Anolis sagrei: one gene and its partners. The protein of the gene in region 1 interacts with the protein of each later gene in a pairwise test. Links are inferred from orthologs where the notes say so. Each region holds a gene or a part of one and is shown on either strand. Other genes may lie near its edges.

Region 1 (7,563 bases):
ACCATAAAAGCAGCTCAGATGATAATTTATCTTTTAAAACAAGATTCTAGTTCTTTGTTTCAAGAAAAAAAAGGCTGCTGAACAATCTGAAACCTGAAGGACTGGAGATAGGAAACAGAAGTCTGTTCTTAAATGTCTTTTTTAAAAGCAATACATTGTGTCCCATGTCCTCCCAGTTTTATCCTGATTATTACTTTTTTCTGTGTATACTTCAATTAAAATCCATCTATGTCATTTCAAATTCTTCCTTTTAGAAGAGCTGCTTCCCAATCCCTTTTTGACAAAGAGGTTTCTTGGATGACACATTTTACTTCCTCACTAGAAGCAGCAATAGGAAAGATTACCAGGCCAATTAGATTTGACACAGATGACCAAGACGGTTTTAAATGGTGTATTTTAATCTTGCGATAAATGTTTTTAATGTTTATGCATGCGTATATGAATTCTTGAATGTTTGCCGTATATATGCTGTGCTCCGCCCTGAGTTCCCTTTGGGGTGAGAAGGGTGGAATATAAATGTTTTAAATAAATAAATAAACTAGGCAAGAGTAGTGCTGCTCCTTGAAGCCACACTTTTCCCTCCATAAAGCATACAACAGGTAAGCAACAAAAGGTTTCCTCATTCCAGTCAGGGAGACACATTCCAAAACAAGCTGTTAACCAAAAAGAAACATTCTACTTGGAGCCCTATCACATCACACTATTAGCATTATTATTCCACTTTACCTGCCATTAAAATATTCTGTGGCTTGTAGTTTAATGAGGGCCAAGAGTTTTTTTGTCGGAGAATTCTAAATGCTCCTACCTAAAGTGGAAAACCCAGGATCGTATATGATATTACCATGGCAGTTAAAGTGTGATAGGGTCCTGAGACTGAAAGAGGAATTCCCTTGCAATAAAAAGAGAACAGAGAGTCAATCCTATTTTGAAGTAACTAGGTTGAATATCCTCTTGCTTGGTAATTTCCATTATGTATGGCAATTGCTGTATTTTGTTTGTAATTCCAAGTCAATAAAAACAATAAAAAATTGAGAAAAGACACGTCTTTCTCCTACAATTTTTCCCCAGTAAAGTAACATTGGATTTGCTGACTGTTTCCAGCTACTACTGAAATGGTTTGTACCTGTTTGTTCAGAATCACAGGCCTTGAATGTGCATTTCAGAACATTTTCTTCAGAGCAGTGGTCTGCATTCAGGATGTTTTTGTTGCTAACACCAGAGTTGTCCCATGGTACTGCTAAGAAACACATAAATTAGTTTTTTTCCTCTAAGCCTGGATAATCTGCAAACCATTATACCCACAAAGATCTAAAATAAGCTCACTTGACTAAAAAGACATAATGACTTGCCATTTGTCCACATTACAGCCCATTTCTCTGTACTCAAAATCCAATATTAGGCCTTTTCTTCATCTCTCCCATTCATAATTCCCCACTGTCCATTCTTTTTACTGAAATGGTATGTCTCATATCTACTCAAAGTGCTTGCATCTCAAATAGGGTTTCTTCATTCAAACAAAAATTGCTGAGCAACTTAATGGCTTAAAAGCCAGATGAGTATGTATGAAGCAGCATGTACAGTAACTCTATTTTTCTCTCTCTCTCAGAATACCCTAATTTGTCATAAAACCAAATGTGAAGAGCGGATAAAGCATCCAACTGAAAAGTATTTGATGTACAATTTGCATGACTCACACTCCACAGAACTAGATGAAGAACTGCACCAATGCAACATTACAATAATTTCTACTAGGGATTGAGTTACAAACTAAATTGGAAATCATAGTAAAGTAGATCAGTGACATCAGACCAATGACTGCCACACAGGTGTCGCCTATTTTGTGGCACAGAACTGAACTAAAATGGAGAATGACTGAAACTAGAGAAAGCATTTGTATTCATATTAGAGATATTACAGTGGCAGGCAAGTGGCAGGCAAAAACCTGGAACCTCAAGCCATGGCTGATACCGAATGAGACTCCTCCCGGCACACAGAAGACTAGGCGACTTGGAAGATTCTTAACAGACTGCGCTCTGGCACCACGAGATGCAGAGCCAACCTTAAGAAATGGGGCCACAAAGTGGAGTCCACCACATGTGAGTGTGGAGAAGGGCAAACCACAGAACACCCATTACAATGCAGCCTGAGCCTTGCAACATACACAATGGAGGACCTTCTTATAGTAACTCCAGAGGCACTCCAAGTGGCCAGCTACTGGTCAAAGGACATTTAATAGAATGGCAAATTTTTAAACTTTGTGGTTTTAAATACATTACAACTATACCCTTCATTTGCTTCTGATACGATAAATAAAAAAGAGATATTACAACAATAAAAAGCAAGCTTTATCTAGAGTTGGACAAGAACTGGAAAGAACACTCAGCCCCAAGGTTTTTCATTGACCAGCCCACAAAGGCCCACAATCTATGTATTTGTTATTCATTTATATGTCAACCTAAGCGCTCGCTCCCTCTTATACACACACACACATTGGTAATAAAGCACTTTGCATACTAGCCCAAGTTTGTAAAATAATCATTTGGGATTTTGGGTCAAAACAAGGGAGAGTAAGTGTGTTGCATGCCAGTCTACTGTGCCATGATCTCTCTGTAGCTCTAGAAATCAGGTACGCTTGGAACATATAGGGGGAAAAACAATATTTAGATAATCTAAACATTGATTTGAGAAATGTGGTTCAGACTTGCATCCATTTTTACTGGAGTCACTATGAATGGCCTGAGTTAATGTCGTTTAGGGTAAGTGGCACAAACATCAAAATTAGGAAACAACAGCAGCCCATAGCTTTGAAACCAAAACTGTACTGTTAAATAGGAATTACTTTTTTTCAAATTAACGTGGATGACAGGATGGTTCTAAGATCCAACACCAATAAAATAATAAACAATTACAAGATTGAATTTTTCAGGAACAACTAATATTTACCTTCTGTTGATAAGACTGCAGTTAACTGTGCTACTGCTGCATTTTCAAAAGACTTGTGGTAAATAATATCCTCCATCACCAGATAAGTGCCTTTTCAGTCAGAGCTTTATTTATTCCACAGAAATATTCTTTTCCTTCAAAAAAAGAAAGAATGTGTTTTATTTAAGCGCAGCCAGCAAACCAGGAACTTGGTTCCAGCCTTCACAAAACAAGAGACTTTTCGGGAGAATTGTTTGCCAGGTTTTGAAAGTACCGTAATAAAACACCTGGTTGAATTACCTCAAAAATATAGGTATGACAATGCCATCAGTTCAAAAATCTGTACACTAAATTGCTTAAAGCTGTCCCTGGATTGAAACACTATACTCTTATTTATGCAAACCAATGAGATTTTGGCCTGCATAAATAGGAGTATAGTGCCTAGATCTAGGGAAGTCTTGCTACCCCTCTATTTTGCCTTGGTCAGACCACACCTGGAATACTGTGTCCAATTCTGGGCACCACAATTGAAGGGAGATGTTGACAAGCTGGAATGTGTCCAGAGGAAGGCAACTAAAAGGATCAGAATGTTGAGTATAAGCCCTATGAGGAACGGCTTAAAGAACTGGGCATGATTAGCCTGCAGATGGGAAGGCTGAGAGGAGACATGATGGCCATGTATAAATATGTGAGGGGAAGTCATAGGGAGGAGGGAGAAAGCTTGTTTTCTGCTGCCCTGGAGACTAGGATGCAGAACAATGGCTTCAAACTACAGGAAAGGAGATTCCACCTGAACATTAGGAAGAACTTCCTGACTGTGAGAGCTGTTCAGAAGTGGAACTCTCTGCCCCCGGAGTGTGGTGGAGGCTCCTTCTTTGGAGGCTTTTAAACAGAGTCAAGTGACTGGCTTGACTCTGAAAGAGATGGGGGTAGTGACAGTCAACAAGGAGCTCTGGTGTGGGCTGGTCCATTAGGTCACAAAGAGTCAGAAGCGACTGAACGAATAAACTACAAACAGAGGCTGGATGGCCATCTGTCGGAGGTGCTTTGAATGCAATTTTCCTGCTTCTTGGCAAGAGGTTGGACTGGATGGCCCACGAGGTCTCTTCCAGAGGTAGTGAGGATGCTTGCCACAGATGCAGGCAAAACGTCAGGAGAGAATGCCTCTAGACCATGGCCATATAGCCCGAAAAAACCTACAACAACCCAGTGATTCCGGCCATGAAAGCCTTCAACAATACATCGTTACTAAACTGTACCCTTAACGGAAAGTATATAATTAAAGAGAAAGATGAACCCTCAAAAGACTAAGTCAACAATCAATTTTTTAAAAAAAATTCTGCTGTTGGTTGAATTTTTCGATAGTTTTTTTATTACTATTATTTTATTATTATTATTATTATTATATGATTTTTTTCTCCTTCTTTCTCTTTTTTGCCCTACTTTCCTATAGCATTATTATTCCTCCACTTTACATGCATAGAAAAAAAAATATCCCTCTACTTTCCCTCCCTTTCTAACCTTAATAAAATAGATTTTTAAAAAAAGAAGACTTCAATCCCCTTTTCAGCATTTCACTTCCCCTCAAAATAAATGACATAGGTAAAGGTTGTCCCCTGACATTAAGTCCAGTCATGTCTGACTCTGGGGTGTGGTGCTCATCTCCATTTCTAAGCCGAAGAGCCCGCGTTGTCCATAGACACCTCCAAGGTCAGGTGGCCAGCATGACATATTGCCAGATAAAGGCTTCAAAAACCTCAATTATGCCTGCCTGTGATATAGTCACTTCAGAGAGTGTTTGAAACAGGCATGGGCAAACTTTGGCCTTCCTCCAGGTGTTTTGGACTTCAACTCCCACAATACCTAACAGCCTACCGGCTGTTAGGTATTGTGGGAGTTGAAGTCCAAAACACCTGGAGGAAGGCCGAAGTTTGCCCGTGCCTGACGAAGGCAGAGTTCCCATTAAAATGGGCCCCTTCCCCATGCCTTTCAACCTTCTTCAAGGAGCCATCTTGTTACTCCTTGCGCAACTGAGGGGAGGCCAAGCTATATTTCAAAGGCAACCCCTGAAAATTATTTCTTCCCTCACTGAAATCTCCTCAGCCATTAAACAAACAAACAAAACAGCCTCTTCGACCAAAAGCAAAGTGGACTGAAAAGCCCTTCCACCTTTTGAGGGGAATTCAGAGTGAAAATGCCTCCTTCCCTGACTAAACTGAGAGGGCCTTGCTGAGGGAAGAAGGAGACACTCCTAAAAGGGCGGGAAGAATAAGGCCCCTTCTACACTGCCATGTAAAAACCAGATTATCTGTTTTGAACGGGATTATATGGCAGTGTAGACTCATATAATCAAGTTCAAACAGATTATATAGATTATATGTAGGTTATATGGCAGTATAGAATTTATTATTTATTTATTTCGAGTTTTTATATACCGACCCTCTCACCTTCAAAGAGGGATTCGGACCGGTTCACAACATGTGTTAACATACAAAAAATATACAATAACAACACAATGCCACTTAATTACATGATTAAAATATCAGCACCATACACATTAAAACATTATCATCCCAGTTAAAAGAGCCAAATCGTCTGACACCATCACAATCCCATTCATCATCCTCCTTTCATGTGGGCAAAGAATTAAATCAGTTGTCAAATGCCGTGTTCCACAACCAGGTCTTTGTTAGTTTCTTGAATGTCATGAGGGAGGGGGCAGTTCTGATCTCTAATGGCAGGGAGTTCCAAAGTCAAGGGGCCACCACCGAGAAGGCCCTGTCCCTCGTCGCCACCAGCCGTGCTTGTGCAGGCGGAGGGACCGAGAGCAGAGCCCCTCCGGATGATCTTAGTGGTCTTGATGGTTCGTAGGGGAGAATACGTTCAGAGAGGTAAACAGGGCCGGAGTCGTTTAGGGCTTTATAGGTTAACACCAGCACTTTGAATTGTGCTCGGAAGCTAATCGGCAGCCAGTGGAGTTCGAGTAACAGCGGAGTGGTGTGCTCCCTGTACCCCGCACCCGTTAGTAATCTGGCTGCTGCGCATTGTACTTGCTGCAGCTTCCGGGCAGTCTTCAGAGGCAACCCCACGTAGAGAGCGTTGCAGTAATCTAAGCAGGATGTAACCAAAGCGTGTACTACCGTGGCCAAGTCATATTGGAAAGGGCCCCAGTCTCTAAATGCTACAAGATCCCTATGCATAAGCTCTCATAATGTTTTCTCCATCATCTAGACATTTTGCTGCCTAATTTTTTGTTTATGTAATTTATATTAACTGTTTTGTATTGATTGTTTTTGTTATTGCCTTTGTTTGCTGATGTACTGTGGGCTTGGCCTCATGTAAGCCGCACCGAGTCCCTTGGGGAGATGGTAGCGGGGGTATAAATATATTATTATTATTATTATTATTATTATTATTATTATTATTATTATTATTATGCAAGGCTATCCATGGCAATCTCCCCCTAGTCTTTTTGCCTGGTTTATGCCTTTAAATACCATATTTCTGCTCCCTTTCTTCTTGGTCATGCTACATCTACATTATACCTTTTTTTTCAAAATTAGCACAAGTTTTTATTGGAAAAGAGTCTGTGAAACATGATCCACAACTATGAAAATGGACAAAATATGGCTACCAGTATTTAAAAATATCTAAAATGAGGACAGTAAATAAAGAGCAATGTTCAAAAAACAGGGAAATTCCAGACACGTAACACATCCCAACAAAAGATTTCCTCAGTCAGAAAGCAGCCAGGCTTTGAAGCTGCAAGGCCATTCAGTGCTAATCAAGGTGGCCAGTTGCAATATTCACACTTGCCTCAAACAGACAAGAGTTCAATGTATTGTCGAAGGCTTTCATGGCTGGGATCACTGGGTTGTTGTAGGTTTTTCCAGGTTATATGGCCAGCATTTTCTACAGGCATTTTCTCCTGACGTTTCGCCTGCATCTATGGCAAGCATTCTCAGAGGTAGTGGGCTAAGCTTCACTACTTCTGAGGATGCTTGCCATAGATGCAGGCGAAACATCAGGAGAAAATGCCTCTAGAACAGGTGTCCTCAAACTTTTTAAGCAGAGGGCCAAGTCACAGTCCCTCAAACTGTTGGAGGGCCGGACTATAATTTGAAAAAAACATGAATGAATTCCTATGCACACTGCACATATCTTATTTGTAGTGCAAAAGACACTTAAAAACAATACAATAATTAAAATGAAGAACAATTTCAACAAATATAACATTATTAGTATTTCAATGGGAGGTGTGGGCCTGCTTTTTGGCTGATGAGATAGGATTGTTGATGTTGTTGTGTGCTTTCAAGTCATTTCAGACTTAGGTTGACCCTGAGCGAGGGTCGGGTAAATGACCTTGGAGGGCCGCATTCGGCCCCCGGGCCGTAGTTTGAGGACCCCTGCTCTAGAACATGGCCATATAACCCGGAAAAACCTACAACAACCCAGGCAAGAGTTCTTTCTCCCACCCTGGACATTATTCCACAGATATATATAAACCCCACTTGTCTAGTTTCCAACAAACCTCACAACCTCCAAGGATGCCTGCCATAGATGTGGGTGAAACGTCAGGAGAGAATGCTTCTAGAACATGGACATACAGCCCGGAAAACTTATAGCAACCCAAGGATCCAC
Region 2 (7,400 bases), on another chromosome or scaffold:
GGTTGAAACTGCAGAGGAAAAATCCATGTCCATTAGGAAGAACTTCCTGGTGGTAAGAGCCATTTCACAGTGCAATGTGCTGCCTTAGAATCACCTTTACCGGAGGTTTTTAAGCAAATGCTGGATGGCCCAGTTTACCTGTCCGAACGTATCTCCCACTATGATCCACCTCGGGCCCTAAGATCATCTGGGGAGACCCTGCTCATTGTCCCCCCATTGTCACAATCGCGTCTGGCGGGGACAAGGGACAGGGCGTTTTCTGTGGTGCCCCCCTGGCTGTGGAACTCCCTCCCAAATGAAATTAGATCTGTTGCATCCCTCTTGATCTTCCGGAAACAAGTAAAATCCTGGCTATGGGCCTTTGGAGAATACGCTGACCTACTGATGTGTTGACTGATTTAGAACCGATGGACTGCCCTTGGATAATGATTTAAATCAGTGACTGCTGAGTATTTGTTGTCTCTTTTCATATTGTTTTTATATTGTTTATACGGTTTTATATTGTTATTATTACATTACTGTTAATTGTATATTTATGTTTTGATGTGGGCACCATGGGGTGCCACTTTGTTAACCATCCTGAGTCCCTCTGCAGAGGTTGAGAAAGGACAAGATATAAAAGCCCCTGGATGGCGAGGCGCAACACCCGTCATCATTGGTCAAGAGACTGGGAGTCCTTTTGGACCGTCTGCTGACGATGGAGGCCCAGGTCTCTGCTGTTAGCAGAACCGCCTTCTTTCACCTGCGGCAGGCTAGACGGCTGGCCCCCTCCCTGTCCAGGGACGACCTAGCTATGGTGATCCAGGCCACTGTCATCTCAAGACTGGACTACTGTAACACCCTCTACATTGGTCTTCCTCTGTCGGTGATCCGGAAACTCAAGTTGGTACAAAATGCAGCTGCTCGGCTTCTTGCGGGAATTCCGATGAGATGTCACATAACACCAATCTTACTGCAGCTGCATTGGTTACCAATTGAGCACCGGATCACTTTCAAAGTGATGGTACTCACCTTTAAGGCCTTGCATGGTCTGGGGCCGATGTATCTGAGGGACCGCCTCACCCCCTACCAACCCCAGAGATCCCTCCGTTCTGAGGACCAAGATCTATTGGAAATTCCCAGTGTCAAGACCTTGCGTCTAACAGCAACCAGACGCAGAGCCTTCACAGCAGTGGCCCCATCACTCTGGAATACTCTGCCACCTGAAGTCCGTGCCTTGCGGGACTTACCAGCTTTCCGCAGGGCATGTAAGACATACCTGTTTCGACAGGCTTTTAATGTTTGATATTGTTGTTTTTAAATTGTTTTTAAATTGCTTTTAAATTTTGTTAGATTTTAGCTATTCTTGTAAGCCGCTCCGAGCCCCAGGGGAGTGGCGGCATATGTTCAAATAATAAATAAATAAATAAATTTTGGTCATCTGTTGGAGGGCTTTGACTGGACACCCCTGCCTGGATGGCCCTTGAGGTCCCTTCAACCTCTAGGCCTATGAGGTTGAATGGTTATCTATTAGGAAGCATCTGATAGTGTAGACACCATTAAATCCCTCCTGACAGATAACCCTTCTGCCAGAGAAGCCTGGCAGAAAAGGGTGGGATTAGATAGCCCCTGGATTCCCTTACAACGCTCTCTACGTGGGGTTGCTTCTGAAGACTGCTCGGAAGCTTCAAATGGTCCAACGATCAGCAGCCAGGTTGCTAACAGGAGCATACCACTCCTCTGTTGCGCAAGCTCCACTGGCTGCCAATTTGCTACCGGGCACAATTCAAAGTGCTGGCTTTAGCCTTTAAAGCCCTAAACGGTTCTGGCCCGACCTACCTGTCCGAACGCATCTCCTCCTATGAACCAGTTAGGACATTAAGATCGTCTGGGGAGGCCCTGCTCTCGATCCCGCCGGCCTCACAAGCACGCCTGGCGGGGACGAGAGACAGGGCCTTCTCCGTGGTGGCCCACTCGGCTGTGGAACGCCCTTCCTGCAGGTATTAGATTGGCCCCTTCCTTGCTGGCATTCCTTGTTGGAAAGTAAAGACCTGGATGTTTGAACAGGCATTTGACTAAGCAGTGTGATTGATTAACTGATTATTGGAACATGGAATAACGGACAATGGGTTTTGGATTCTGATTTCACCGACTAGACCAGATGGATTTGTTATATTGATGTATTGATGTTTTGATGCCTATGTTAATGATGTTAATGACTTGTGATGCTTCTGTATTTTAAATGCATAAAGATTTTGTATCCTGTATACCTAAACTGTTGTAAACCGCTCTGAGTCGCCCAAGGGCTGAGAAGAGTGGTATACAAATAAAGTAAATAAATAAATAAATAAATACAACTCCCAATATTCTACAATTTTAAGCACAATGTCAGTACATGTTTAACTCTTTCTCTGTCCCCTTCTTTCCTTTGGAATTTTTAAACAGTCTGTTGGGAGGGCTTGGATGGTGATGCCTGGCAGAAGCAGGTTGGGATCCCGTCCAATTCTAGGATTCTGTGACACCATGTGGTTCTGTGTCAGGAGGGATTGAATGGGGAGAAGAGGGTTGGCTTTCATGGCCTCTGGGCTGCCTTCAGATTCTAGGGTTCTGTGATTTTTGGCCCCACACGTTCAGCTCCCCCTTTTCTGGATTTTTTGGAACAGAGGCTGGATTGGAGGGCCATCTGTCAGGAGGCTTTGAAGGTGCCTTCTTGCCTGGCAGAAGGGGCTCGGGCTAGGTGGCTTTGGGGGCCCCTTCCCACTCTAGGAACCCATCTGTGGGGCACCATCCGTAGGGGAAAGCGGCCTCCAGAGAGAGAGGCCTACCTCGCAAGGAGAGGCCTCGCCGAGAAGCGCCTCCCCGCTCTCCCTCCCTCCCGCCCGCGACTCACCGGCCCCACAGGCCCAAATCCCACCGAGACGCCGCCGGACTCCCGAGCCTCCGACACCGGCCGCCTTCCCCCGGAACCGAAAGGCCAAACAAGCGGACGTCACTGCCACGTACTCCCTCAGGCTGCCGCGTCACACGCACGACGTCGAGAGTCCCCGCCCCACTGCATACGTCACGCCACTCGCCTCATTAGACCCAAAAAACGGGAGGAAGTTGCCTGGCAACAAGGAGGAAGCGGAAGGGAAGGATCCTGCGGGGGGATGTAAACAAGCCTCGCTTGGGAAGAGATTTCCGGTTGCCAAGGGTTTCTGGAATCGAGCCTCAAACTCAGGCGGAAGGCCTCAGTGCGCCAGGCAGGAAGACACCGCCAGAGCCCCCCTGACAGCTTCAGATTAAAAATCTACAGAGACCCCATCATCACCATTTTATTATCCACTAGCCGTCTCCTGCCAGGCGTTGCTGTGGCCCAGTCTGGTGATCATGAGGGTTCTGTGTGGGAGGTTTGGCCCAATTCTATTGTTGGTAGAATTCAGAATGCTCTGTGATTGTAGGTGAACTATAAATCCCAGCAACTACAACTCCCAAATGTCAAGATGCTACTTTCCCCAAACTCCACCAGTGTTCGCATCTGGGCATATTGAGTAATCGTGCCGAGTTTGGTCCAGATCCATCCAGGCATTCTTTCAAAGGAAACATGCTATCCTTAGCTGAAGCTGATTTAGAAGGCATGAAGAAATATTTGGGTGTAATCAGCATACCTGTAACACTGCATCCATACCTACAGATCCCTCCCAGTGGCTGCTATGAGGATAGAATGGCACCTTGTGGGACACCACGTAACAGCTCCCTTTTCAAGGAGCAGCTATTCCCAAGTGCCACCATCCAGAATCCAGAACCAATGTCTCCAATTCCCAGCCTTCCCCATAGGCATTCCAGAAAGGTTTCCCCAATACCACGGTACTGAAGGCCGCTGAGCAGTCTAGAAGCACCAACAGGGACACACTCCCGTTGGTGTTGAGATGGAGATCCAGTACAACAATAGCAGTCTCAACTCTGTATCCTGCTCTGAAGCTGGTTTGAAATGAGTCGAGGAAGTGTGTAGCATCCAAGACCGCCTGGAGTTGGAAGGCAACTGCCTTCTCAATCACCTTGCCCAAAAAAGAAACGTTGGACACTAGTCTGTAGTTATCAAGGTCCAAGGTGATTCATGCCATATGCCAGCAAATATGGAAAACACAAGAATGGCCATCAGATTGGAAAAATCAACTTATATCCCCATACCAAAAAAGGGAAACGCTATAAGATGCTCAAACTTTTGTACAGTGGCGTTTATTTCACATGCCAGTAAGGTAATGCTCAAGATTCTGCAAGGTAGACTCCAGCAATACATGGAGAGGGAGTTGCCAGATGTAATCTGATCTTGCCATTAGTCAATCTGATCTCTTTCTTCGATAGAGCTACAAGCTGGGTAGATGCGGGGAATGCCGTGGATGTAGCGTACCTGGATTTCAGTACGGCCTTCGACAAGGTCCCTCATGACCTTCTGGCAAGGAAACTAGTCCAATGTGGGCTAGGCAAAACTACGGTGAGGTGGATCTGTAATTGGTTAAGTGGACGAACACAGAGAGTGCTCACTAATGCTTCCTCTTCATCTGGAAAGAAGTGACAAGTGGAGTGCCGCAGGGTTCCGTCCTGGGCCCGGTCCTGTTCAACATCTTTATTAATGACTTAGATGAAGGGCTAGAAGGCATGATCATCAAGTTTGCAGACGACACCAAATTGGGAGGGATAACCAATAGTCCAGAGGACAGGAGCAGAATTCAAAACGATCTTGACAGATTAGAGAGATGGGCCAAAACTAAGTTCAAAACTGTTGAAGTTCAACAGTGACAAATGCAAGATACTCCACTTTGGCAAAAAAAATGAAATGCAAAGATACAGAATGGGGGACGCCTGGCTCGAGAGCAGTACGTGTGAAAAAGATCTTGGAGTCCTCGTGGACAACAAGTTAAACATGACCCAACAATGTGATGTGGCGGCAAAAAACGCCAATGGGATTTTGGCCTGCATCAATAGGAGCATAGTGTCTAGATCTAAGGAAGTAATGCTACCCCTCTATTCTGCTTTGGTTAGACCACATCTGGAATATTGTGTCCAATTCTGGGCACCACAATTCAAGAGAGATATTGACAAGCTGGAATGTGTCCAGAGGAGGGCGACTAAAATGATCAAGGGTCTGGAGAACAAGCCCTATGAGGAGCGGCTTAGGGAACTGGGCATGTTTAGCCTGAAGAAGAGAAGGCTGAGAGGAGATATGATAGCCATGTATAAATATGTGAAAGGAAGCCACAGAGAGGAGGGAGCAAGTTTGTTTTCTGCTTCCTTGGAGACTAGGACGCGGAACAATGGCTTCAAACTACAAGAGAGGAGATTCCATCTGAACATTAGGAAGAACTTCCTGACTGGGAGAGCCGTTCAGCAGTGGAACTCTCTGCCCCGGAGTGTGGTGGAGGCTCCTTCTTTGGAAGCTTTTAAGCAGAGGCTGGATGGCCATTTGTCAGGGGTGATTTGAATGCAATATTCCTGCTTCTTGGCAGGGGGTTGGACTGGATGGCCCATGAGGTCTCTTCCAACTCTTTGATTCTATGATTCTATGTACGAGAGACCAAATTGCCAATATCCACTGGATAATGGAGGAAGGCAGGGAGTTTGAGATAAACATCTATTTCTGTTTTACTGATGATTCTAAAGTCTTTAACTGTGTGGATCATAATAAATTGTGGCAAGTTCTTGGTGGTCTGGGCATACCAAGTCACCTTGTCTCTCTCCTGAGGAATCTGTATAAGGACCAAGTAGCAACAGTAAGAACAGAACACAGAACAACAGATTGGTTCAAGATTGGGAAAGGCGTACGGCAGGGCTGTCTACTCTCACCCTCCCTATTCAACTTGTATGCAGAACACATCATGCGACGTGTGGGACTTGACGAACCCAGGCTGGAGTTAAAATGGCTGGAAGAAACATTGATAACCTTAGATATGCAGATGATACCACTTTGATGGCTGAAAGCAAGAAGCAGCTGAGGAGCCTTATAACCAAGGTGAAAGAAGAAAGTGCAAATGCTGGGTTGCAGTTAAACATAAAAAAAACCAAGATGATGGCAACCGGACTGATGGATAACTGGCAAATAGAGGGAGAAAACATAGAGGCAGTGACAGACTTTGTATGTGTAGATATGAAGATGACTGCAGATGTGGACTGCAGACAGGAAATCAGAAGACGTTTCCTTCTTGGGAGGAGAGCAAGGACCAATCTCGATGAAATAGTGAAGAGTTGAGACATCACACGGGCAACAAAGATCTGCCTAGTTAAAGCAATGATATTCCCCATAGTAAGCTATGGATGCAAGAGCTGGACTGTAAGGAAGGCTGAGCAAAGGAAGAGAGATGCTTTTTGAGCTGTGGTGTTCGAGAAAAATTCTGAGAGTGCCTTGGACCGCGAGAAGATCGTATCAGTGTAATGTCTATATATTGTACAAGTTTAAAATGTCCATGCTGCTAGCTGTGAGAGTTAAGTTATGAAGCATGTGTGGGACAGACAAGCTTCATAATAGACTAGGAGGCTGGACACTGAATTAATGAGCTGATAGCAGTGTATAAATAGAGCAGACACCATTTTATTATTTCTCTGCTCTTCTCCCTTGCATCTGACTGTGCTAACGAGTAAGTGTTACTGCAATTAATGAAATGTAAATAAAGAGCCACTATTCATTCATTCATTCATTTATTTGCTTTATTTCTACCCCGCCTTTCTCATCCGAAGGGACTCCAGGCAGCTTACAATTCCAGCAAAATTCACTGTCGGTAAAAAACAGTACTAACAATAAAAATTAAACAGTTAGCAATAATAAAATATATCAATAAACATTAAACAGTAAGCAACAATAAAATGTATCAATTTACAAATTTAAAAAGCACATAAAGTGCATAGTTCCATAACCCTGCTCATAATCCTTAATCCAGATCATGTCAAAACCATAGAAACGTATTCTTTGAATGGTTGTGCGCACAGCCAACTCTTCAGCTTTTTCCTAAAACCCAGAAGGGATGGGACATGTCTGATGTTGCTGGGGAGAGAGTTACACAGCCGAGGGGCCACCATGGAGAAGGCCTGTCTCTCGTCCCCACCAGTCGTGATTGCAAAGAAGGTGGGACCGAGAGCAGAAGATCTTAAAATTCTAATACGCTCATAAGAGGAGAAGCATTTGGACAGATAAGTTGAACCAGAACCGTTTAGGGCTTTATAGGCCAAGACCAGCACTTTAAATTGGGCTCTGTAGCATATCAGCAGCCAGTGGAGCTGACTGCTGAGGAGTTGTATGTTCCCTGTACACCGCTCCCGTTAGAAGTCTGACCCCTGCCCGTTGGACTAGCTGAAGCTTCCAGGGCGTCTTTAAAGGCAACCCCACATAGAGTGCATTGCAGTAATCTAAGTGGGATGTAAAAAGAGCATGGACCACTGTAGCCAAGTCT
Region 3 (7,203 bases), on another chromosome or scaffold:
GGCCTGGAAAACTGGAAAACAAGGATATCAGGAGGAGAGGCTGACTACCCACAAAAGGTTACTACTACCACATCAGCTCTAGATTATTAAATAGGGTTTTCTGTGGGTGAGCAGATAGGGACTACTAGACAGCATATGCTCTGTATCAGAAACTAGAGCTGATGTGGTCTATCCAATGCAATTTTCTGAATCAGCATCCCAAATAACCAAACTGAATGAAAAGTTGATCAAAAACTCCAAAATGTTGGAGTGTAGTCCCTGGTCAAAGTGGTCCCTGTTCAAGTCGTGTCTGGTAAAAAAAGAAAAGAAAAGATTAGATAGGGAGAGAGGGGGAGTGAATATATATAGTGTGGAATGGATATGTGTTGTTAGTTTATTTTTTGGAGTGCAAGACAGGAGTGGATTAAAACATGAAAAAGGACCAAGTCTATTGTTTATTTCAGAATTATTAAACTGCATTAAATGTGGATGCTGAGTTACCTTAAACATGACAACAAAATTAAGGAGCCATTTTGTAAAATATTATCCAAGAGAAGGAAGAAATGTTCTCCAGACTCCATGGAGCTCAGCAAACTGGGAAGGCAATGGGGTTATTTTGCACAGGTATGGTGAAAATGCCAGCATTATGTGAACTTGGGTTTGTTGAATTAAACATCTTCAGTTGGAGAGTCCTTGGGAGATTTTGTTGGGCTAAGGCTGGATAAAGTCAAAACAGGTTGGGAACCACTGATCTAGTTGAACATAGATGTAGGGAAAGGTGGGGTTTGTTTATATTGTTGTGTGTGTCATTATTGTTGTTATTATTTTATAATTTTTGGGTAAATGTGTATACTTGGTAGTTTAAAATTGATATGTAAGTTAATTAAAAAACCAGAAACACGGGGCAATGACATAATAATAATAATAATAATTTTATTTATTACCTGCTTCTCTTGATGGTTTGAGGCAGGGTACAGTACAACAAAGTCAAAAACATATGAACATATAATATGTACAATAAATACTTCGATTAAAACACAAAAATATTTTTAAAAACTTGCATCAAACACAGATACAGAATTGACATAAAGTAGCAACAAAATGCAAATCAAATAACTAGCCTACATATGCCTATTGAGGTTTGTAGACCAAACTTGGCCAGCTAGTTTTACTTTTATTATACAGTCTTTTTATACCCACAGATTTGCAGAGAAGTGTATATGGGAAAATCATGCCAGAAAACTTTTAAGAAATCATACTACACACCATTTTCATGATGTTAATTCACTGCCAAAGCTTTGAAAAATTCCACCTGTCCAACCAAGTTTGGAAAGCCAGTGTGGTCATTTGAGCATGCTGGTTGCTAGATTGTGCAAATTGTAATTATTATTTTTTTTAAAACCAGAACATTTTCTAAGCTTTACTCGCTGTTTTGGAGGGAAGAGCTATTATTTATTTATGGTGTAAGGCAGTGGTTCTCAATCTGTGGGTCCCCAGGTGTTTTGGCCTACAACTCCTAGGGAAGTTCCAACTTCCATAGGGAAGCTGATGAGGAAACACAACATACAAACAATCTACAAACCCACCAAGAAAATCCAACAAATGCTACGTTCAGCAAAGGACAAGAGGGATCCTCTCACCTCTGCAGGAGTCTACCGTATACCATGCAGCTGTGGACAAGTCTACATAGGGACCACCAAACGCAGCGCCCAGACACGCATCAAGGAACATGAAAGGCACTGCAGACTCCTTCAACCAGAGAAGTCAGCCATAGCAGAGCACCTGATGAACCAGCCTGGACACAGCATATTATTTGAGAACACAGAAATGCTGGACCACACCAACAACCACCATGTCAGACTACACAGAGAAGCCATTGAAATCCACAAGCATGTGGACAATTTCAACAGAAAGGAAGAGACCATGAAAATGAACAAAATCTGGCTACCAGTATTAAAAAACTCTAAAATTATAACAGCTAAACAACAGAGAGGAAAAAACCAGGCACAGATTAACACCTCCCAGCAACAGATTTTCCCAGGCTCAGGCAGGCCTTCAAATGCTAATGAAGGTGATCAGCTAAACATTCACACCTAACTGCAGCAGGGAAGAGCTCCTTGCCCCACCCCAGCCATTCCACAGATATATAAACCCATTTTTCCTACTTCCAACAGACCTCACAACCTCTGAGGATGCTTGCCATAGATGCAGGCGAAACGTCAGGAGAAATGCCTCTAGAACATGGCTCTATAGCCCGAAAAAACCCACAAGAACCTAACTCCTAGAAATCCCAGCCAGTTTACCAGCTGTTAGGATTTCTGGGAGTTGAAGGCCAAAACATCTGGGGACCCATAGGTTGAGAACCACTGGCGTAAGGGAAGGAATCCCTGTTGCTTTTGCAGTGTGTGAAGTTGTTGTTGTTCATTCGTTTCTGACTTCGTGACTTCATGGACCACGCTAGAGCTCCCTGTCAGCCGTCACCACCCCCAGCTCCTTCAAGGTCAATCCAGTCACTTCAAGGATACCATCCATCCATCTTGCCCTTGGTCACTCCCTCTTCCTTTTCCCCAGCATAATTGTCTTTTCTAAGCTTTCCTTTCTTCTCATGATGTGGCCACAGTACTTCATCTCGGCCTCTAGTATTCTTCCCTCCAACGAGAAGTCAGGCTTTATTTCTTGAAGTATGGACTGGTTGGATCTTCTCGCTGTCCAAGACACTCTCAGAACTTTCCTCTAGCACCACAGTTCAAAAGCATCTTCCTTCACTCAGCCTTCCCTATGGTCCAGCTCTCACATCCGTAGGTGACTGTGTGTGAGGTATGTGTGTGAGGTAGGTAACACTATATCACACTAGAGAAAAAATCCACTTCAAATCCAGTTTCTACCTCCTGCAGAATTCTGGCGTTTGTAGTTTAGAGAGGAGCCTTTAACAGCATTATTTTATTATTATTATTATTTGCATTTGTTAACCGCCACTCTCAGCCCGAAGGCGACTCATAGAATCATAGAATCAAAGAGTTGGAAGAGACCTCATGGGCCATCCAGTCCAACTATAATATCTTCTCTCAGCCAAGAAGGAGGAACATTGCATTCAAAGCACCCGACAGATGGCCATCCAGCCTCCCTTTAAACGCCTGGAAAGAAGGAGCCTCCGCCACACTCCGGGGCAGAGAGTTCCACTGCTGAACAGCTCTCACAGTCAGGAAGTTCTTCCTCATGTTCAGATGGAATCTCCTCTCTTGTAGTTTGAAGCCATTGTTCCGCATCCTAGTCTCCAAGGAAGCAGAAAACAAGCTTGCTCCCTCCTCCCTGTGGCTTCCTCTCACATATTTATACATGGCTATAATATCTTTTCTCAGCCTTCTCTTCTGCAGGCAAAACATGCCCAGCTCCTTAAACTATTAAACTACAAACCCCAGAATTCTGCAGGAGGTAGAAACTGGATTTTAAGTTGATTTTTTCTCTAGTGTGATGAGGGCAGAAGTGAGATGTTTGATAATAACTATGCTTAAATAAGTTACTGCAAAATCAAATGTTTGTTATTATTATTATTATTATTATTATTATTTCCTATTTTATCACCACTCCACTTGCTGACTGAGGTATGTAAAAGTCTTTTGAAATCCACTCTAATAATGAAATACATCAAAAAACAAAACTCTACAGGACTAGAGCTGCCGAAAGTGCAGCCTGAACGCCAGCTCTTCCTCCTCCAGTGAGACATACCTTTCCCACGCCTGGCATGAAGAAAGGAGAGGCCTTCCAACCTCCCGCTCCACACGCCTTTACTTCGAGGCAAGTCCCTTCTGCGGAGCTTCTCCCCGGGGGAAGGCCAGGCTCGTACGGGAACGACATCTCATGTCCCGCGGAGAGGGTTCTATGGGACGGGAAGCCTGGGAAGGTAGGCCCCTGAGGCTGGAAGTCCCCTGAGGCTGGAAGGCAGGGCGCCGGCCTCGGCTGCCACCCGGGCTCCCAGCTCTCGGAAGAGGCCTAGCTGTGGTTGAAGCGGCGCTAAAGGACCGAGAGGCATGAAAGGAAGAGGGACCCCAGGAGGCCCCGCGTGCTGCAACCATGGCGACGGCGCGGCTGAGCTCCGCCCCGCGCGGCGCTTGGCGGCCGGCGATTGGCCAGAGGGTGGGCGCGCGCCCTCTGCCCCTTGACCCTTGTGCGGCGGCGGCGGAGGGGGAGGAGGAAGGCGGGCAGGAGGGCGGGCGGTGGAGGCGGCAGCGGCATCGCCTGCCGCCCCTTTCCTGCTGGCCTGGCGGCGGCTGGTGCCGCGGCTGCAGCACTGGGCGGGCGGGAGGATGCGGCGCAAGTCTCGGCTGCTGCTCTGCTTCGCCTTCCTCTGGGTGCTCGGCATCGCCTACTACATGTACTCCGGGGGCAGCGCCGCCCTCGCCGGCGGAGGAAGGAAGGTGAGGAGCAGGAGGGGGGGGGGGGCGCGGCTTCCCTTCGCCCTCAGCCGGGGAGAAGCCTCGCTGGACCTTCTCCTCACGGCTCCCCCGTTTGCCTGCCTGCCTGCCTTCCTTCCTGCCGAGGCTCCTTCTTTTCCCTCAGGCTCCTCGCCCATTCCTCTCCCTCTCCCTCCTTCGCCTTTCTCCTGTCATGGAGGACTCCCTTCCCTTTCCTCTCTTCCTTCCTTCCTTCCTCTCTCTCTTCTTTCCTTCCTTCCTCGGCTTCCTCAGTCTCCTCGCTGCTGCTTCTTCCATTTCCTCTTTCCATCCTGCCTCCTTCCTTTTTTCCTTCCTTCCTTCCTGCCAAGGCTCTTTCAAGTACCTCAGGCTCCTCGCCTCTTTCGCCTTTCATGGAGGATTTCCTTCCCTTTCCTCCTTTTCCTCTCTTATTTCTTTTCTCCTTCCATGCTGCCTCCTTCCTTCCGTCCTTTCCCCCCTTCCTTCCTGCCGAGGCTCTCAGGCTCCTTGCCTCTTCCTCTTTCGCCTTTCATGGAGGATTTCCTTCCCTTTTCTTCTTTCCTTCCTCTCTTCCTTGGCTTCCTCAGTCTCCTCGCTGCTTCCTCTTCCCTTCCTTCCATGCTGCCTCCTTCCTTCCTTCCTTCCTTCCTTTTTGCATTCCTTCCTTCCGAGGCTCTTTCGTTTACCTCAGGCTCCTCGCTCCTTCCTCTTTCTCCTTCCATGGAAGACTCCCTTTCCTCACTTCCTTCCTTGGCTCCTTCAGGCTCCCCGCTGCTTCCTTTTCTCTTTCCTTCTTCTATGTTGCCTCCTTCCTTCCTGTTATCCTTCCTTTCGAGGCTCTTTCGTTTACCTCAGGCTCCTCACCCCTTCCTTCCTCAGTTCCTTCAGTCTGCTGGCTGCTTCCTTTGCCCTTTCCTCCCTCCATGCTGCCTCCCTTCTTCCTTCCGGCTTTCCTTCCTTCCTGCCGAGGCTCTTTCCTTTACCTCAGACTCCTCACTCCTTCGCCTTTCTCCTTCCATGGATGACTCCCTTTCCTCCTTTTCCTCTCTTCCTTGGTTCCTTCAGTCTCCTTGCTGCTTCCTCTTCCCTTTCCTCCCTCCATGCTGCCTCTTCCTACCTTCGTAGGCTCTTTCCTTAAGTCAGACTCACTCCTTTCGCCTTTCTCCTTCCATGGAGGACTCCCTTCCCTTTCCTCCTTTCCCTCTCTTCCTCCCTCCCTCTCTTCCTCGGTTCCTTCAGTCTCCTCGCTGCTTCCTCTTCCCTTTTCCCTTTCCTCCCTCCATGCTGCCTCTCCCTCCCATCCTCCTTTCCTTCCTGCCGAGGCTCTTTCCTTAAGTCAGATTCACTCCTTTCTCCTTCCATGGAGGACTCCCTTCCCTTTCCCTCTCTTCCTTCCTTCCTCGGTTCCTTCAGTCTCCTCGCTGCTTCCTCTTCCCTTTCCTCCTTCCATGCTGTCTCCCCCCCCCCCTTCCTTCCTGTCGGAGGCGTGAGGGGATGTCCTCTTTGGGGAAACTGGGGCGCCTCGTGACTGCTTCTTCTTCGGTGGGAACAGGGTCCCCGTGAATGTGTATGCGTGTGTATTGAGGAAATGGGCGCCACGAGGAGCTCCTTCCCGGCTGAAACCCAGCCAGGCTGTTGCGCCTTCTTCGCCTTGGGCGAACCAGGTCTTCCTCTCTCCCTCCCTCCCTCGCGGGGAGGAAGTGCTGCGTACTGCTTCCATGTTTGAAATACCCGAAAGGAGGTCTCTGTGAGGAAGGGGCCGGCTTGTGCTCTGCTGCCTCTGGATCACTCCTGGGCAAACTTGGGCCCTCCCTCCAGGCGTTTTGGACTTCAGCTCCCACCATTCCTAACAGCCTCAGGCCCCTTCCTTTCTCTCCTCAGCCGCTTAAGGGAGGGCCCAAGTTTGCTCATGCCTGCTCTGGACAATGTGGAGGAGTTAAAAGGCAGGGAAACATATTTTACCTAACCCTTTGGAAGAACTTCCTCGTGTGATAGAAGCTCCGTAGTGTGATAGAAGCTCCTCCTCTAGAGGTTTTTTTTTTTTAAGCCGGATGACCCTCTCTTCAGAGAGCTTTCATTGTGTGGCAGAATGGGGTTGGACTGGTTGGCCCAGGTAGTCTCTTCTATGACTTGCCAAGATTTATGATTCCTTGTCGAAGGCTTTCATGGCTGGAATCACTGGGTTGCTGGGAGTTTTCCAGGTTTGATGGCCATGTTCCAGAAGCATTCTCTCCTGATGTTTTGCCCACATCTATGGCAGGCATCCTCAGAGGTGGAGGGGTCTTTTAGAAACTAGGCAAGTGTGGTTTACATATCTGTAGAATGTCCAGCGTGGAGAAAAGAATTCTTGTCTTTTTGAGGCAGGTGTGAATGTTGCAAAAAGTAGGGGAACTCCAGACAAGAATCAATGAGGGCCAGCTAACATCTCCCAACAAAGGATTCCCCAGGCAGCAACCAGCCAGGCTTTGAAACTGCAAGGCCATTAAATGCTAATCAAGATGGCCAAATTGCAACATTCACACCTGCCTCAATCAGACCAGAGTTTTTCCCCCCACCCTGGACATTTTACAGATATATAAACCCCACTTGCCTAGTTTCCAACAGATCCCTCAACCTTTGAGAATGCCTGGCATAGATGTCGATGAAATGCCAGGAGAGAATGCTTCCGGAACATGGCTATACAGTCCGGAAAACTCACAGAAACCCATCATTAGAGTTCTCCTTCCCTTCGAAGCATGGTGCCAAGGTTCATATCTTGCCATATTCTGTGCTCACCTCCTCCTTAGGTGTTCCTTACTCCATCCCTGCATGT
Region 4 (7,001 bases), on another chromosome or scaffold:
GTAAATATACTTTCCAATTTTATAATGGGTTCATAACTACAGACATGAACAGTTTTGCATCCAATCTGGATTTCCATTTTAATGTGTTTACTATAAAATCCTTTTTTTAAAAAAAAAAAAACTAACTACAATTTGTCTAGTTTGAATCTATGGGGTGGAGAAATATATTGAAAAATCCCATTGGAGGATTCTGGCAGAACTTCCCTCTCCCAACTATGGACTGAGTCCTGTTCCTACATTTCAATTTAGCATCCCTGCAATGCTGCCCTTAGAGACTCTTAAGCAAAATAATTTGCAATTTAGACCGATTTCTAAACTAATTCCAAACAAGTTCAGAATAATTTCTTCCCTTCTTTACTCTAGATTAAAACTCACAGCTCAGGGTGCTGAAGTTCTGCCAAATGAAGCCAGCATCCTCTGACTTTTCACGGCCAAGCAAGAACCCTTTATAGCAAAATAGCAATGGTTGACTCTGTGATGTTGAGGTGGAATGTACCATTTCACACTAGAGGTGAATGTCCTCTTATGCTTTTAGGAAAAACAACACTCTGATTTTCTGTAAATCAGAACTGGAACTACAAGCAATGGATTGGGCCTTTCTCACTGACAAAGTAGTTTGTTCATACATTTGCATAAAAGGGGTTAATTGAGAAGACTCATAAAAAAAAACAACCCCATTGCACAGCCTGAAATGGTACATCCCACTCTACAAATTGAGGATTCTGAAACAGGTTGTGTGGAAGGATTGGTTCTCCAAAATTGTTGAACTGAGCTGCAATTCCAAATATTTCTCATCATTGGCAATGGTGAGTAGAAGCTTCCAGGAATTGCAGCCCAACAACATTTGGAGATCAGCACATTGCTTACTTCTGTGTTCTACTCCATTCATAGAACAGACCAAAGTGAAATATTGCCCAGTAAGAGGTGATTTCAACTTGAAGTTAGAGTTGGAAGTTTCCTACCAATCTTACAGAAAAGTTGGAGGAGATAAGCATACATACTCTCTACCAGTGTCCCATCTTTAATTACCAACCTTTAAGATGTCCTATACTATATATCTGGTTTTGTATTGTAATTGAATATTTGTGGTACCTATTTATTTATTTATTTAATTATTTAATTATTTTATTTATTTGCTTTTGTGTTTTAAGGGAATCCCTGTGCAATTGCTTCCTCCCATGCATTTTAATATACGTGCCAGATGGAGCTTAATCACACTGGAACCCACCTTTTTCCTCCTCCAGTTATGGCAAGTGACCCCATTACTATGTGTTATGAAAATGTCAGTAGTTATTAACTGAACAAATCAGTCAGGTTGTGTATCATATGTATTTGGTTGCTACAGAACAATTAAAATTACTACCCTGACTGTGTAGGTCATATATATCTCAGTCATATTACCCACTCCAGAGTTTTGCTTGAGTAGTTGCTGAAAGGCTATTGCTTTTTCCTTAATGTTGAAAAAACTATATTTTTATAATAGAAAAACAACCAATGTTTAATACTAAGTAATGATTATGCAGAGGTGGTTGTAGTCTCTTCTCCCACTGTCCTTGGCATCTGAATTACTTGCTTACTAATAACATAACATTATTATGGTCCATGCTCTCGTGACGTCTAGGATAGACTACTGCAACACACTATATGTGGGGTTGTCTTTGAAGACTGTTCAGAAGCTTCCAATAGTCCAACAAGAGGCAGCCAGGTTAATAACTGGGATGGCATACAGGGAGCACACAACTCCCATGTTGTATCAGCTCCACTGGTTGCTACCGAGCACAATTCAAAGTGCTGGCTTTGGCCTATAAAGCCATAAACGGCCCCAGCCCAGTTTACCTGTCCAACTGCATCTCTCTCTATGAACCACTGCAGAGATTAAGATCTTCCAGGACCCAATGCTCTTGGTCTCACCACCGTCACAGGCTCTATTGGTGGGGATGAGAGAGAGGGCCTTCTCAGTGATTGCCCCTCTGCTAGCGAACTTCCTCACTGGTTAGATCAGTCTCCTTCCTCCTGTCCTTCAGAAAGATGATAAAAACTTGACTGTGGGACCAAGCCTTTGGGACAGTACAATAAGGTAACAATAGGAAACTTTACCCTGCTGATCGGATCCGGTATGGCTGATCCGAGATGGTTTAAAACAATTTATTTTAAAGTGGAGATAATTGATTTTAGTGTTTATATATATTTATAATTTATTTTATGTTCCAGCATTGAATGTTTGCCGTATATATGTTGTGCTCTGCCCTGAGTCCCCTTCGGGGTGTGAGGGGCAAAATATAAATGTTTTAAATAATAAATAAATAAACCCATAAGCACTTTTTTCACAGACAAGCCACCAGCTTTCTATTAAGCCAGCAGTATTCCTTTCAGAGTTTCTGTATTAAGCAGCTGCTTGAAATATCTGAAACTCATCTCGAGCAAGAAAAATGAGAAATATTTGCTCAATTTAATGAGCACATTTGGGCAAAGTGATGAGGCCTTATTATTATATTATGGGGTTTCCTTCTCTCTTGGGCCAATATATGTGTCTCGGATAAATGCAAATGCCATTAATCATTCGGCACTGTTGTGCTGCCCAGTTTAAGCGGTGGAAATATTTCCCGTTCATCTTCCAGCACCACATTGTCAATATGGATAATGGCTTGGAGAAAAGGTTCCTTTTTAAGGCTGTGTTTGCTTCCTGTAGACTGAGAATTAAAATGGAAGGCTGCTACTAACAATTGAAGTTCTTACCTTGCCTTTTCCGTGGCAGGTCTGGGTGAGCTCTCAGAAGTTCAGCTCTGCTGTTGCTGAAGCACAAATGAAAAGATGCCTGTTTAGTTATCAAGTACTAACATGCTGTAACATCTTCATTCGGACGGATTCACTTTGCTGCTTTGGGTTATTCCCCCCGCCCCTCACTAAAGAACAGGAAATGCTCTGAGCTGCAACACTTCAGCTTGGTTAGTTCCTCTCTTCCCCCTTTCATTCTGTCATGCTCTGATATGACAAGGGAGTGACAGGAAACCCAGAACTTTGTAAGCAGGTTAATGTTGTGGTCACTCGAACCCGCTGTAGTCGAGTGGTCGACATGTCCACCGTTATCACTGAGACTCCAGAAATATCTCTTTGCAGGCTTCACGTTATCAGCCCTGGCACCTTGAACCTCAGTATCACGCCGTGAAATTGTGGTTGGCACACTGGGACCATATTGAAGTGTGATACTTATGGGAAGAAGAACTTTCTGCCTTGAGTAGAAAATAACTTGTATTCATTTTTGAACATTGTAGCATGCATGCATGTAAACAGTTGTAACTTTGCCAGCTTTGAAGTTTGATGTCTTTAATGAGTGTGGCATCTAAGGTGCACCTACACTGCCAAATTAATGCAGTTTGACTTAACTTTGACTGCCATGGCTCAGTGCTATGGAATCTTGGGATCTGCAGTTTGGTGAGGCACCAGAACTCTTTGACAGAGAAAGCAAAATCTACAACTCCCATAAATCCACAACACTGGGCCATAGCAATCAAAATGGATCAAACTGCATTAATTTGACAGTGTCGATTATAGGAAAGGAGATTCCACTTGAACATTAGGAATAATTCCTGACTGTGAGTGCTGTTCAACAGTGAAGCTCTCTGCCTCTTGGTATTTTGGAAGCTCCTTCCTTGGAGGCTTTTAAATAGAGACTGGGTGGCCATCTGTTGCTTTCACTGCCTGGCAGGGAATTGGACTATATGGCCCATGTGGTCTTTTCCAATGCTATGATTCTATGATCCCAGATGCACCCTAAAATTCATTAGGTATTCTTACACAAGTATGTCCCAGTCCTGCCTTTGTCTCCTCTACATCTACATTAAGAGCCAGTGTGGTGAAGTGGTTTAAACCAGGACGATGAAGGTTCAAATTTTTAGTCAGATATGGATTCCCATTGTATAACCTTGGGCAAATCACAATTTCTTAGCCTGCTCTGAATTAATCTTACCAAGAAAACCCAAAGGTATACTCCACAAGGCTGAGTCTGCAAGACTAGAGCAGGTCAATTGATGATAGAATGACTTGGCAGTCTCTCATTCATAGTCACCATACATGGAAGTCCATTTGGTGACAGTTAGCAACAGCAATAAGGGCTCACCAGAAATTAGGAGAGACCTAAAGGCATAGAATAATAAAAATTGGCCTACCCCGTGTAGATAGTGCTATACACCATGTGATAGCAATAATGTGTGTGCTCTGAACATTATAGAGTGTTGTGTAAATATGTCATACTCTTGCTAAAATTATTAATGGTATCGAGGAAATTACACAGATTGGTAAAATGTATCACTATTTGTATCTGTCTGCTGAATGCACCCTGTCTAAAATGTGAGAGCCCTCATGTTCACACATTACAAAAGGGGAAGCAGGGCCCATAAATAACCTGTGGCCTGTATTTTCCTTTTTTTCTTTCCACTACTACATTTTTCTTCTTTGGAAGCATTGTTTTTTATCACAGCAATTGCTTATTTTAACATATTTGAATTAATATGATTACAATTTGAGACAACAATGAATCTTATCATACAAGTTATTTTTAAAATTTTGTGAGGACTTCACTTTTTAAATAATAATAATAAATGTTATTTGTGTGCCTTTCTATCTCTCCAAAGAGACTCGGGGGAGTTTCTGTCGTGTAAGGCAAACATGCAATTGCCGAAGGTGAACCCAGCGAAGACTGAGATTCTCTGGCATGGCCGCCCGGCAGGCCTGACTCCTCCATTACCCACCTTCGATGGTGCCGCCCTATCTCCATCGACCACTGTTAAGAGCTTAGGTGTCATCCTGGATTCACAGCTGACAATGGAAGCTCAGGTCGCTGCTGCCAGCAAACAGGCCTTTTTCCATCTACGACAAGCGAGGCAACTGGCACCCTACCTAGCTGACGAGGCTCTGACAACTGTCATCCATGCTACAGTCACGTCTAGGCTGGACTATTGCAACGCCCTGTATGTGGGCCTTCCGATGTCTACGACCCGAAAGCTTCGTATTGTTCAGAATGCGGCAGCAAGGTTACTCACAAGAACGCCCATGAAATGCCATATAACACCAGTGCTGCAACATTTACATTGGCTTCCAACTGAGTACCGTGGCCTGTATATGATGCTAGTTCTGACCTTTAAAACTCTTTACGGCCAGGGTCCATCGTACCTTAGGGACCGCCTCTCCTTCTCCCATCATCGGAGGACGCAACGACCAGCCCAACGTGACTTACTCCATATACCGCGTCCTAGAGAAGTGCACTTGGAAAGGACCAGACGCAGGGCTTTTTCTGTTTCTGCCCCTGCCTTGTGGAATTCCTTGCTGCCCTACATGAGAGAGCCATGCGTGACTTAGGGCCTTTTACTCTCGCACTTAAGACCTGGCTTTTTACTAGAGCATTCGATCTCTGTTAATTTTTAATTTTTGTATGCATGTATTTTATCTTTTATAATTTAGCTGTAAATCGCCTAGAGCATTCTCGGATGGAGGGCGATTAATAAGTTATTAAATGATGATGATGATGATGATGAAAGAAACCATACAGACAATTACATCAAAATAAACGCATTTGACAATATAACACAACCTAATAAACTTAATAACAAAATAACAACTAAAAACATCATAAAATACAAAAAAAATCTGCTAAAATACATTTAAAATAAAAATATTTAAAACCCATTTCATTATAGCTGACTCATATTTGAGTTTTGATTTATACTTTCAAATAGAAAGTTGAAAATGTTAGTTTCAGTGATCTTTAACTAGAAACTCATTATAATAAGGGATGTATTATATATAATTATATGTGTGTGCACCAGACTTCAGCTGAGTCCAGTGCATAGATATATAAATAAAGCATCCTTTATCCAGCATTCTGAAATCTGAAATCTTTGTTCAGTGTAGACAAAATTTGTTTCATGAACAAAATTATTTAAAAATATAAAATTAGCTTCAGACTATGTGTATCAGGGTGTATATGAAACATAAGGTATCTAATCATATACACATATGCAAATACAGGATTTTCAAAATCTAAATAAATTCAAAATCCAAAACGTTTTGTACCCAAGCATTTCAGATAAGGTATGTTCAATCTGTAAATGCAGTTCCCAAGTTATGCACAGGATAGGTTTTGTAGGTTTGTCCTTAAGTTGTATTTGCATGTAAGTCGGAAGAGGTACTTTTTAAAGTGAAACAAGCCAAACACATACATTTTTAAGCTTTGGAGAGCATAGGGAAGGGTTAGCACCCCTGTGGTCTTTGTTTTATTTATTTATTATTTATTTACCTTACTTATATACCCCTGTTCTCAGCCCGAAGGCGACTCACAGCGGTTCACAACAAATACGAACAGCAAAAATTCAGTGCTACACTATAAAAACAGTTAACAACCTAACACATTACACAATTAATAAACAGTTACTACATACCCATTCACTGTCATCTCGTCATCAAAAACATGTTCCAGATTCGTCATCCATTGTTCCATTCCAGTGTTCATTAACCAATCATTGCACTAATTATTCGAACGCCTGCTCAAACAGCCAGGTCTTCACTTTTTTGCGGAATACCATTAGAGATGGTGCTAGTCTAATGTCCGTAGGAAGGGCGTTCCACAGCCAAGGAGCCACCACCGAGAAGGCCCTATCTCTCGTCCCCGCCAGCCGTGCTTGAGAAGCAGGTGGGATCGAGAGCAGGGCCTCCCCGGAAGATCTCAAAGTCCTGGTAGGTTCATAGGCAGAGATGCGGTCGGATAGGTAGCTTGGGCCGGAACCGTTTAGGGCTTTAAAGGCCAACACCAGCACTTTGAATTGAGCCTGGTAGCAGATCGGTAGCCAGTGGAGTTGGCACAACAGGGGGGTTGTATGCTCCCTGCGCTCCGCTCCTGTTAAAATCATGGCTGCTGAGCGTTGGACTAGTTGGAGCTTCCGAGCTGTCTTCAAAGGCAACCCCACGTAGAGAGCGTTACAATAGTCTAAACGGGATGTAACCAGAGC

Evidence for each region.
Region 2: the proteins of KASH5 (region 1) and STX5 interact in binary tests that used the Homo sapiens proteins (3 or more experiments, as listed by UniProt). The two-hybrid records come from large-scale screens. The link is inferred for Anolis sagrei from reciprocal best matches to the Homo sapiens genes KASH5 and STX5.
Region 3: the proteins of KASH5 (region 1) and GALNT2 interact in binary tests that used the Homo sapiens proteins (3 or more experiments, as listed by UniProt). The two-hybrid records come from large-scale screens. The link is inferred for Anolis sagrei from reciprocal best matches to the Homo sapiens genes KASH5 and GALNT2.
Region 4: the proteins of KASH5 (region 1) and TRAF3IP3 interact in binary tests that used the Homo sapiens proteins (3 or more experiments, as listed by UniProt). The two-hybrid records come from large-scale screens. The link is inferred for Anolis sagrei from reciprocal best matches to the Homo sapiens genes KASH5 and TRAF3IP3.

Annotation. Positions count from the first base shown.
Region 1 is NC_090026.1:22,017,411-22,024,973, forward strand, and holds the start of KASH5 (protein KASH5), read right to left. Parts: upstream 3,020-7,563; coding exon 2,944-3,019; intron 1,238-2,943; coding exon 1,124-1,237; intron 1-1,123. UniProt on the Homo sapiens protein: As a component of the LINC (LInker of Nucleoskeleton and Cytoskeleton) complex, involved in the connection between the nuclear lamina and the cytoskeleton.
Region 2 is NC_090032.1:12,412,189-12,419,588, forward strand, and holds the start of STX5 (syntaxin-5), read right to left. Parts: upstream 3,004-7,400; 5' UTR 2,870-3,003; intron 1-2,869. UniProt on the Homo sapiens protein: Mediates endoplasmic reticulum to Golgi transport.
Region 3 is NC_090021.1:61,526,342-61,533,544, forward strand, and holds the start of GALNT2 (polypeptide N-acetylgalactosaminyltransferase 2), read left to right. Parts: upstream 1-4,194; 5' UTR 4,195-4,283; coding exon 4,284-4,394; intron 4,395-7,203. UniProt on the Homo sapiens protein: Catalyzes the initial reaction in O-linked oligosaccharide biosynthesis, the transfer of an N-acetyl-D-galactosamine residue to a serine or threonine residue on the protein receptor.
Region 4 is NC_090024.1:198,918,976-198,925,976, forward strand, and holds the start of TRAF3IP3 (TRAF3-interacting JNK-activating modulator), read right to left. Parts: upstream 3,014-7,001; 5' UTR 2,737-3,013; intron 2,019-2,736; 5' UTR 1,837-2,018; intron 1-1,836. UniProt on the Homo sapiens protein: Adapter protein that plays essential roles in both innate and adaptive immunity. Plays a crucial role in the regulation of thymocyte development.